Linked DNA regions of Kluyveromyces lactis. The protein of the gene in region 1 interacts with the protein of each later gene in a pairwise test. Links are inferred from orthologs where the notes say so. Each region holds a gene or a part of one and is shown in the gene's direction. Other genes may lie near its edges.

What was found. The genes of interacting proteins can lie anywhere in the genome.
Region 2: the proteins of MRS6 (region 1) and YPT52 interact in binary tests that used the Saccharomyces cerevisiae proteins (3 or more experiments, as listed by UniProt). The link is inferred for Kluyveromyces lactis from reciprocal best matches to the Saccharomyces cerevisiae genes MRS6 and YPT52.
Region 3: the proteins of MRS6 (region 1) and SEC4 interact in a protein complementation assay, tested with the Saccharomyces cerevisiae proteins (2 studies listed by BioGRID). The link is inferred for Kluyveromyces lactis from reciprocal best matches to the Saccharomyces cerevisiae genes MRS6 and SEC4.
Region 4: the proteins of MRS6 (region 1) and YPT7 interact in a protein complementation assay, tested with the Saccharomyces cerevisiae proteins (3 studies listed by BioGRID, with this or other methods). The link is inferred for Kluyveromyces lactis from reciprocal best matches to the Saccharomyces cerevisiae genes MRS6 and YPT7.

Annotation. Positions count from the first base shown.
Region 1 is NC_006040.1:533,102-536,843, reverse strand, and holds MRS6 (GTPase-activating protein MRS6), read left to right. Parts: upstream 1-1,371; coding exon 1,372-3,204; downstream 3,205-3,742. Other genes in the region: KHA1 (Kha1p), read left to right, coding at 1-312; KLLA0_D06215g (uncharacterized protein), read right to left, coding at 3,700-3,742. UniProt on the Saccharomyces cerevisiae protein: Substrate-binding subunit (component A) of the Rab geranylgeranyltransferase (GGTase) complex. Binds unprenylated Rab proteins and presents the substrate peptide to the catalytic component B.
Region 2 is NC_006040.1:200,229-202,667, forward strand, and holds YPT52 (Rab family GTPase YPT52), read left to right. Parts: upstream 1-1,283; coding exon 1,284-1,907; downstream 1,908-2,439. Other genes in the region: KLLA0_D02354g (uncharacterized protein), read left to right, coding at 1-829; SCP160 (Scp160p), read right to left, coding at 2,218-2,439. UniProt on the Saccharomyces cerevisiae protein: Required for transport in the endocytic pathway and for correct sorting of the vacuolar hydrolases suggesting a possible intersection of the endocytic with the vacuolar sorting pathway.
Region 3 is NC_006041.1:1,073,898-1,076,475, forward strand, and holds SEC4 (Rab family GTPase SEC4), read left to right. Parts: upstream 1-1,401; coding exon 1,402-2,046; downstream 2,047-2,578. Other genes in the region: proteasome activator BLM10, read left to right, coding at 1-1,036; VTC2 (vacuolar transporter chaperone), read left to right, coding at 2,527-2,578. UniProt on the Saccharomyces cerevisiae protein: Involved in exocytosis. Maybe by regulating the binding and fusion of secretory vesicles with the cell surface. The GTP-bound form of SEC4 may interact with an effector, thereby stimulating its activity and leading to exocytotic fusion.
Region 4 is NC_006040.1:109,386-111,939, forward strand, and holds YPT7 (Rab family GTPase YPT7), read left to right. Parts: upstream 1-1,398; coding exon 1,399-2,022; downstream 2,023-2,554. Other genes in the region: KLLA0_D01243g (pirin family protein), read right to left, coding at 1-398. UniProt on the Saccharomyces cerevisiae protein: Ypt/Rab-type GTPases are key regulators of membrane trafficking and intracellular vesicular transport.

The DNA of each region.
Region 1 (3,742 bases):
TTAGTGATGGGATTACATGCCAAGACTATCAAAATTGTTACCGTTTCAGAGCATCTGGTTGCTCTTGGAGAACTGCAAGAGATTCTCAGATCCTCCATTCTGATAAAATTGGATATTACAACTATATCGACTAACGAAACTGATTCCGCAGTTGCGAGTGTTGATGTCTTCAATGACATCGAACTTAATAATAAGAGTTTGGTGGTATTACCACAAGATTCTATAAAGTCTACATGTTTAGACGATTATTCTAAAGTGCTTGTAACGAAAGCTTCTAAAAGTGGTTCTACGGTAGCCATCTGTCATAGGTGAACAACAACGAACCCTAAATGTTTAATGGTTCAGTAGTTCCCGATTACTACCCTGTTTATTCAATATTTCGTCTACTTATATAAGCATTTAATAACACCACTGAGCTGTGCTTTAGTATAGAGTTGGGCAATCCGTTATCAATTACCAGTAAATCCATGCATTAGAAACATTATATCTGTCCTGATTCTAGATTCTGGTTCCGAATCTGAGTTTCACAATTGAAAAAGGTGATTAACTCAAATTTGTATACAATAAGATAATATGACGCGACAGTATTATTATCACGTGCACATGCCAGCACTAAAAATGAAATATGTCGCACTGTCGCTGTAATTTTACCATAGTAAAGTTTTGTCTGAAAGCACAGCAAGTTTAAACGATCCCTGAATAAAAATACCCTGACACGTTTAGTTTCCACATCATTTTAAAGCGATATTTCATTTCAAGCTGGGGCTCTGATTGCTATTGTTTCCGGTATTGTTCTGTCGATAATAACGGGAAATGATTCACGAGTTTAAAAAAAAATTTCTCGTTGCCAGCCGTGAAGATAAAAAAAAAAAAAAAAAAAAAATTGAAAACACATACTCATTATCTGTGCGAATTAAATACAGTTTTTAAAGGCGTAACTAAGATACATATCCATTAAAGTTTCCACCTCAGAATACCACAGGTACGTGGTACAAATAAACTGTTATTATCGAAAAGCACCAACCTTTCTAAAGCTAGAACCTGGAATAAGAAGCAGATCGAAAGAGTGCTGTTTTTGTCATTCTTTGAGCGATATTGGCGGTTGAGAATTTTTTTTTGGTTCTTGCAAACCGCTCAAAATTAGGCTTTACAGAATTCCTAATAACATTACAGGAACCTGTGAATAATCTCATTACTAGTAAAATTCCAACCTCTGAACCGTATCAGGCTATTTTTGGAATTTCTAAGGTCGTTCATATCTGACTTTTTGTTCTCTCGCTTTTCCCTTAAAGAGACATAAGAACTGGTTATAGAATAAGCTATATTTAATCTAAAGTCTCGGTTAAACACTACAAGCGGAAAAAAATTAAAATGCTGAATGCCGAGCGCCGCCCTTCTATGGCGGAACGTCGTCCTTCCTTCTTTTCTCCCGGTCCTGACGGCTCCTTACAATCAACTTCCCTCGTTGTGCCACATTTGGCTGGTATCGAGGATCCTTTACCGGAAACTACACCGGAACAAGTGGATGTACTCATTGCTGGTACCGGGTTGATTGAAAGTATTCTATCTGCTTCTTTAGCATGGCAGGGATCCACCGTTTTGCATATAGATTCCAATAACTATTATGGGGACACATGGGCTACAATGACAATTGATCAGTTGAAGAATTGGACAAATCAAGTGAATGAAGACTCAGACGAAACACGGTTTTACAAAGATGCCAGACTCTATGTCTCCGGGTTGGTAGCTCAGGGGAAATTCAAATCCAAGAATTTTGGTATTGATTTAAGTCCCAAGATTCTATTTGCACAATCCGATCTACTCTCAGTTCTAATTAAATCAAGAGTACATCAGTATTTGGAGTTCCAATCGTTATCCAACTTCCATACCTTTGAGAATGATAACTTTGAAAGGTTAACGAACTCGAAACAAGAAATATTTACTGACCAAACTCTTCCATTGATGACGAAACGCAATTTAATGCGTTTCATTAAATTTGTGCTAGAATGGGAAAAAAGCACGGACATTTGGAAACCATACGCTGAACAGCCACTTGCTAGTTTCCTAGTCGATAAATTCAAGCTAGAAAAACCTCAAGTTTTTGAATTAATATTTTCAATTGGTATGTGTCGTAATCTGGATACTAAGACACCAGAAGGTTTAGCAAGGATCAGAAGATTTTTAACTAGTTTTGACGTTTACGGACCTTTCCCAGTCCTATATTCAAAGTATGGTGGGCCGGGAGAACTATCTCAAGGATTCTGCAGATCAGCAGCAGTGGCTGGTGCCACTTATAAACTCAATCATAAATTGGTATCATACGATCCGAACTCCCAGACTGCGGTTTTTGAAGACGGTTCAAGAGTAAGAGTCACAGAAAAGGTTGTCGCATCCCCTACCCAACATCCCCAGAATGGCGGTAACATTCCTCCCCAGAAGTACGAAGTGCATAGGCTCACTTGTGTTGTGGAAAAAGACTGCTCACAGTGGTTCAGTGAAGGAGAAAGTGCTGCTATGGTCGTGTTCCCACCTGATTCATTGAAGACAGGAAACGTTGAAGCCGTACAGGTGGTGATTTTAGGCTCAGGAGCCGAAGTTTGCGAACCAGGTACTTGCGTTTGGTACTTCTCAACCACTCAAGCCGGTCCTCGAGGTGATTTGGACCTTGATGCTGCACTTGAAGCAATGATCAATAGTATTTTAAGGGAGTCCTCGGATATACCCAATGAGGATGAACTTGTACAAATCAATTCAAATGGCGTTCCACTAGTCAACAGTGTAAAACTGGGACAGTCGTTCAAAGAACTCATTTCAAAAGAACGGGTAAACTTCATCATGAAATTGTACTATACTCAATACACATCCACTCCTCCATTTGATATTGTTACTCCAGACTTATTTGATTTGAATAAATCTAAAGAATTTATTCCTGGCGCATCAGATAATGGAATTCTTTATACTTCGTTGCCATCAGGAGAAGTGTCATATGATGAAGTTATTACTGCAGCAAAGTTCCTTTATGAAAAAATAGTAGGAAGTGATGACGATTTCTTCGACCTTGATTTTGAAAATGACGAACCAGATCTAAAAAATACCAATAAAACAATTAATAGCTACGATGAAAGTGCTATCGCAGATGATGAAGAAGATATTCAAATGATGGACTCAGAGCCAGTTGAATTTGCAGGCGAGATGGAAATATGACATAGCGTCAAGCTTCTTCAAGTTTTCAAGCGACAATGCTTTCAATTCCAATAGCATCAGTATTCCTTCTTTGACAGATTGATTGAAATAACCCGATGTGTCTAACCTTGTATTATATGGAATTATCTATCCACAAAAGAAAAAAGTGACATCTTCTAGATAAGATTTGCGTCACATAAGCATATTTTGGATCCAGCTGTATTTCTTACTGCGAATTGCACTCTTTGATATAAACATACCTTTATTCAACCCACTACCTGGGAATCTTAAAACGAAACGTTATTTAAGTTATCCATAGAAGGCAGATGCAGGAAAAATTCATACTTGTTTTCAGTTCCTGGAAATCAAAAATAGCAAAACCTTAATTAAGATTATACATGATATTAACCTAACTTCTCATACATAAAGTTAACAAAAGAATAGTGTTCGGCTTCTTAACTGCTCTTTGATTTAATTGTCATTCTCGAAAGCGAGGAAAAAACATTAAATTAAAGCTCAGAGGCGGCTTCTTATCTCCAGTAATGATTCTAATTGTTTC
Region 2 (2,439 bases), about 330 kb from region 1:
TTCCTTGACTATGGATCCAAAACGCATTTCAATTCTTACAGAATTGGGTAAATACTGGTACGCTTTGTGTTTCAACTACGGGTATCTCTCTGCCAATTCTCGAGTATATTGGTCTCTCTTCACCGAACTTAGTGGAAAACCATACAACTCCGTGGCTGGATTTCAAGATTGTTTGATCCAATTTGGATCCCTTTACCTATTGCTACATACTCATAACCTGTCCGTCGAAAGAACCACTGTCAATAGATTCTTATGCATTTTCGAGGACAAGTTCAACGACTGGTTGCTACAAGCTTCAGAGGAATTGTATTGCCCCCTACAAGAACATAGATTACCTCAGATCCTCAACATCTTGGAGCTTTTGATAGGGTACTCTTCTCCTCAACTAAGGCAAGATATCAGAACCTGTTTTGTCTCGCCACATAACTCATTCCATTGCCCCTTCGTCAACTCCTCTTTCATTAAGTTGATCGAATCACCAATCAATAATATCTCGAACACTACTACTTCGATATTAAATCTTTTACATCTTAGACACAACAGGGAAACTCACAGATTGGAGCCTTTGCCTCCAGTTTCTCGTGAATCTTCAGTGTGTTCTTCCATATCGCATGATTACATCACCTACTCCGGACTACCCACGCCATCGGCAAACACCACCACTGCAGCATCAACTGTTAATTCCAACTCTTCAATGACTTCTATCGCTGAGCAGGATTCCGAGGCTGATAATTGGCCCGAGGAAGAACAACTCTTGGAAGCAGAGAAGATCGGGGCCGCTATCCAAAGGCTTAACGAGCTGGGCTTTGTTAAGATGTCTACTGAATGAGATAATAAGCATGCGCACGATACTTCTTTCACTTCATTTCACTTCACTTCACTTCACTTCACTTCACTTCACTTCATTTCACTTCTATTCGATTAATGTTAGCTACTATTTATTCTATTCTATTTAATCAATACACACCCCAACTATATTTATCAACCAAATCAGCCTCTTGTCATTGTTTTAAACGTCACGAACTCCCCTCAAATTACCAATCACGTGATCGACAATTCGTATTATCCAACTTAAAGGCTTTCAGTCATTGAAACCTTTAAATTCAGAATCAACAGGTTTCATCCCTTCCAGATAAAAAGATAAAAAAGTAGAGAAACTGGAACGAGTAACCGCGGGTAGAAGTCGTATTGGACATTTTGTTTCGAGCATTCACCAATATCAACCCCAGGTTTCCTATACTGCTGATTCTTTCTAAAATATCGCAATTTACTTCCCATAAATTATGCTTCAGTTCAAATTAGTATTGTTGGGAGATTCTTCTGTTGGAAAATCCAGTATTGTTCATAGATTCGTCAAAGACTCGTTTGATGAGTACAGGGAATCGACTATAGGTGCAGCTTTTCTTTCACAAACTATTAAATTATCTGAAGAGTATGATGAACAAGTTTTGAAGTTTGAAATTTGGGATACGGCCGGTCAGGAACGCTATAAATCTTTGGCACCTATGTACTATCGTAATGCAAATGCCGCTTTAGTTGTGTACGATGTCACTGAACCAGATTCTTTGCCTAAGGCCAAGCTTTGGGTTGATGAATTGAAAGAAAAGGTAAATGACGATAAGTTGATCATCTGTCTTGTGGGGAATAAGTTGGATCTAGTATCTGAAAGGGAATCGACCTCTTTAGTCGATGAAGCGGACGCACGCGAGTTTGCACAAGAGAATAATTTGTTGTTCCACCAGGTCAGTGCTAAGACTGGAGAAAACGTAATCAAAGTCTTCCAAGATATTGGTGAAAGATTATATTTGCAGAACAAAGATAAGATACAGGAATCGAAGAAACCTAATAATAATAATATATCATTGCAAAGACCAAGTACAAATGATTCACAGTCTTGTTGCTCATGAAGACGGCTTTATTCGTATGCCTGCATATAGATCTTCAGGCCACAATAAATATATATATACGTTTACGTATAACCATGAAACACACGCTAGCCCGTATAAATCTTTAACATTGAGGAACAACCGAGGATTTTGAAGAAATAGTTTTGTTTACATTTTTTGATATAGGTTTTAAGTGTATTCAGTATACATGATTAATTATGTGGTATTAATGTAAGCTTATGTAGTGCTAATCTGTGCAGCGTTGAACACCAATAGAGGAAATAAATACAAGAATTGGATCAAAGGAACGGACAAAGTGAAAACATTAAAACTATTTTAATCTCTTGCAGATCAATTCAGCTGCCTTTTTCACACCTTCTTCAGAGCCTAGGACATATATAACATTGTTAACCTTATCGCTTTTTCTTGGAACATGGATAACAGTTTTAGTGGCATTTCTGATTTCTCTGATATTTCTACCGTTTGGTCCAACAATAGAGTTAAACTTCTTTGCATCCTTGGACCAAACGAAACCTTCGGTGTTAACAAGTTT
Region 3 (2,578 bases), on another chromosome or scaffold:
TTCCGACGTGGTTCGTCGTGAAGTTGGTAAACTTTTCTCAGTTATCTTCTACATAAAGGCAAATGCTCATCGTCCAAACGTGAAGTCTCTTCTCGAAACGGGGGCATCTGGTCCAATTGAGATCAGAGAAATCCCAAGCTGGTTGAGAGAGAGGGCTATTAAAATCTTCAACGAAATTGAAAAAGAAAGATTGTTGATCAAGGACCTACCCGCTCAGGACATCTTGAAGACTAGGTATTTCTACTTGGCATCAACTATGTTCTATTGGGCTGCTCATTTAATCAATACTGGTGCTAGAGTGTGTCTGGGTCCATTTGCTAAATGTTATTTGGCACCCTTCTTGATGAAGTTAGACAGAATGAGAGATGTTTGTAAAATGGTCAACATTAAGGTTTACAGTATTTACGTGGAACTTGCATACATTCCAATAAGCCGCACGTTGTTACCTGACATAATTTCGATCTTGGATGACACAGATTTGACTAGCTCTCATGAATTACGTGTGAATTTGACTTTAGCAGAGAAACTTTTCTCCACACAATCGTTGGTTATGGACCATGCTGGTAAAGTGAAGATCTTAGAGTTCGTTTTGGACAAATTGTTCTGTAAGAGTTTTGTAGAGGTTCGTCTCAAGGCTTCCTATGTCCTTGCCGGTATCGTGCATAACATATCTTATGATACCGATACTTTGCACACTCTCTTGGAAAACTTCAAGCGTCAACTTGGTTCATATACTTTCGAGGAGAAAGCTGCACTCTCCAAATCCAACACAGATATTCACGGTGCGATCTTGGGTCTCGGTGCCATCATCGAAGCATTCCCGTACGTTTCACCGTTACCAAATTGGATTCCAGAGAATATGGCACTACTAGCGTCCTGGGCAAGAACAAGCGGTATGTGCGGTGCTGATGCAAAGAACATCATCTCTAGATACAAGAAAGTTAGAGCAGATACCTGGCATTTGGACAGATACCAGTTCACCTCGGAGCAATTAGAAGATATGGAAGGTGTTCTTTGGAGGAGTTACTACGCCTGAGAAGTTGCACAATCGACACAGATGACCCACAAGCTGCGTATGCACATGAATATATATGTACATCTACAAGTATAAATCGTATAATTTAACTTGACATTGGGTATGCCTATCACCATATACGAATTCGATCAGTATCTAGATTTTGGACAAATATTGTTTGAAAGGGTGAAAGCAGGATAGCCATCACGAAAGGCACTAACCCAAACACTTTACGGCCGAGCTATTAAAACCCAGATTCTGTTGACCAGATATAACCAGCTCGCCACTCCTCCAATATATCGAGATAAAATAACAGTGTTGAACTGTGATATCAATTTTTTTCACTTAATTGAAGCGTGAAGGAAACAAGGGAGATTGAAACTATAATGTCTGGATTAAGAACGGTTTCTGCTAACGGCAGCACGAATAAAAACTATGATTCTGTCATGAAGATTTTACTTCTAGGTGATTCCGGTGTAGGTAAATCATGTCTTTTGGTTCGTTTTGTTGAAGATAAGTTCACACCAACTTTCATCACCACAATCGGTATCGATTTCAAGATTAAAACCGTAGACATCAATGGGAAACGTGTGAAGTTACAACTTTGGGATACTGCTGGCCAGGAACGGTTCAGAACCATCACAACCGCATACTACAGAGGTGCCATGGGTATTGTATTGATTTACGATGTTACTGACGAAAGAACTTTTGAAAACATCAGACAATGGTTCTCCACTGTTAACCAACATGCTAGCGAGGATGTAGTAATGCTGCTAGTCGGAAATAAAAAGGACATGGATACAAGAACCGTGTCTTACGAACAAGGTGAAGCTCTTGCTAAGGAGCTAGGGATCCCATTCATTGAAGCCAGTGCCAAAGACGACACCAACGTCAGCGAAATCTTCTTCACATTGGCCAAGTTGATCCAAGAAAAGATCGATGATGGTAAGATGGAAGGAAAGGCTGAAAAGGAGGGAAATGTAAGCATTCGTGGCTCAGGCTCTTCAGGCTCCAAGTCCAATTGCTGCTAAACCACAGATCAGAGCGTACAATAAGAAATAACAACCTATGCATTGGCTTTGTGTGTGTACATATATATATATATTCAAATGGTATGTATTAGAAAGTTCAAAGGTAACTTTACACGACCATTCCAAATCAGGTGATTTACACGTGACGTAAATAATCACATGACCATCTCCACGTGCCACTCAAGATCAATATAAAATTGCCCAACTTTCCCAATATAAGGGCATCGATGATTATATAAAGAGTGCATTAGAAGGAAATGCAAATAAAGAAACAGATATAAGGATGGACTTAAAGATTTTATTTAGCCAATAAACAGTTGGGTAGATTTCTATTTTCTTGTTCAGCTTCCTTGTATCTTGAATTGAGAAGTGTAATCCTGATCACCATCTTCAGCTTTATAACCAGGAAGGGTTGCTGTTTATTATAACCCTTATAATATTGTCAAAAGAGGGATTTGGTCTTTTTAAATTCAAGGCACAATGCTATTTGGTGTGAAGCTAGCTAATGATACTTATCCCCCATGGAGGGATT
Region 4 (2,554 bases), about 420 kb from region 1:
TTTTTTATATCGTTGGGTAAATCAACCCAAAGTTGTAAACCCTGGGTGGATTCACCGTTATCCATCTTAACGGGGATTTCTGAATGGACAATCGCTTTGCCTGCAGTCATAAACTGCAAATCACCAGACCGTAGAACTCCTTTAGAACCAGTAAAATCCTCATGTGCCATCATACCGCGCAATACATAAGTAATGGTTTCTTGACCGTGATGTGGATGTTCCGGGAACCCGGCAGGTGGAGACACATCGAAGTTATCCAACATTAAGAATGGTGGAAAGTTTCTCATCTGTATAGTCCCAATGGACCTCTTAACAAGGGCACCAGCACCCTCACTCTGCTCAATGGCAACAAAGTGTTTCAACACAGAACGTACCTTACTAACAACGTTCAAACCCATCTATGAAGACATAACACGCTGATCTCTACTCTTTTCCAAGGCTTGTAAGACCGATGAGCTAGGTGATAAATAATAAACTGCAATCGATATAACCAGAACTAACACAGGTGTTGACAAGTTATACTTGAAGCTTAATTGTTGGAGCATACAATTTAGAATGACTTCTACAATTTTACCACTCAATTGAATTCCAATTTTGCAAAATTTTAGACCTAATCGATAGTTCGTATCCTTTATATACTTTAAAATCCAAATCAAAGTACCAATGCCTTACCCCGAATTACCAATACAAATGACTAGCCTAAGATGAAAACCTTAAGACAGACACAAGAAAATATACTTTCGAACAATGACAAATGTTCAAAATGTATAATAATGTATAATGATGTATAATAACATTGATATTTCTGAGGGAGTGCTGATCCTTTTGCAACTTACTCATCTTATATAAGCTCTCATCGGGTCCTGCAATAAAGTTCCTCTCCCTTTAGTAAGAGCTGACACATTTTTTTTTTCTGTCTACATTTAATAAGCAAGTATTCGCAACGAGTGTGATGCAGGGATGCTTATCGTGGTGCATTACCCTGATTAGTCAGGGTAATAAACTCAGTGTCTGCTTCAACACATTTGACTTTTATGGTTTTCAGTCAAGTAAATATTGAAATCCATATGAAAGGATGAACTTATTATTCAATTCAGAGTAATTATTTGTTAATAACGATAACACATTACATTCTTTATTAATGATGTTTTCTTGGCTAAAAAACGAATAATATTGATCATAGACAACTGCAGTGATCGAGCAAACTACACCTCGTTATAAGAAATACGTTATATTGGATATTCTGGTGAACGTTTTATATACTAAGGAAAAAAATACGATAGAATAGTTTGTCCTTGTTAATCATCATAGGTTATCTTCAAATTTAAGGAGAAAAGAAAAAGAGCATACAAGGTATACCTTCGGACCTTTATTCATACTTTTTAGTCACAAATTACCATGTCTAGGAAGAAGAATATTCTAAAAGTTATCATTCTAGGTGATTCGGGTGTTGGTAAGACATCTTTGATGCACAGATATGTCAACGACAAGTATTCTCAACAATATAAGGCTACGATAGGAGCAGATTTTCTTACCAAGGAAGTCATTGTGAATGACGATAAGGTTGCGACGATGCAAGTATGGGACACTGCTGGTCAGGAGAGATTCCAATCGCTTGGTGTTGCATTTTACAGAGGTGCTGATTGTTGCGTGTTAGTATACGATGTGACCAATGGTAAGTCGTTCGATAATGTGAAGTCGTGGAGAGATGAGTTTTTGGTTCATGCGAACGTCTCCTCGCCAGAAACCTTCCCATTTGTAATTCTAGCTAATAAAGTTGACGTAGAAGAATCGAAAAAAGTGGTTTCTTCTAGATCTGCGCAGGAGCAAGCTAAATCCTTGGGAAACGTACCTCTGTTCTTTACTAGTGCCAAGGATTCCATTAATGTCCAGGACGCATTTGAGGAAATCGCACGCAGCGCATTACAACAAAGTCAATCTGATGCGGATGCGTATGAGGACGACCTAAGCGAAGCTATCAATATTCAGTTGGACGGAGAACCTAGCTCATGTAACTGTTAACTGATAAAGCATGCGTCTCATCAAATACGACTGAAAGGGAAGGGAACAAATAGATTTTGTTGTCTTTTGCCCTTCCCTTACTTTCTTCACGCTAACCGTCAGAAAACACGCGTATTAGCGTTGGATTGTTCCCATACCGTATAGATACATCTCGGAACGAATCTTCAAGCAAATCTAATTTAACACACCTACATAGAAAATCTAAAGAAACTACGCTCCTTCGTGTAATTAGTCTTAATGTAATGTAATCTAAATCTCGAGTTGATATTAGAGTAACCATTAGCATGATTAGACTCTGCACAACACGTTTTGTTTGACACCTCTTTGGTGTCTTTGACCCCGACTTCTGTTTCTGATATGCGCACTTTATATAAACATTTGTACAGACACATGCCACACGTGCCGAAAAGTTTAATCTTCAATACGCTCTGGTAATTGCCGAAATGCAAGAACAAACTTCATACCAGTCGAAAACCTCGATCTGGTTGCGTCTAAGCTTGCTAGCCGTATTTCTAGTATAGTCACCCTTTTG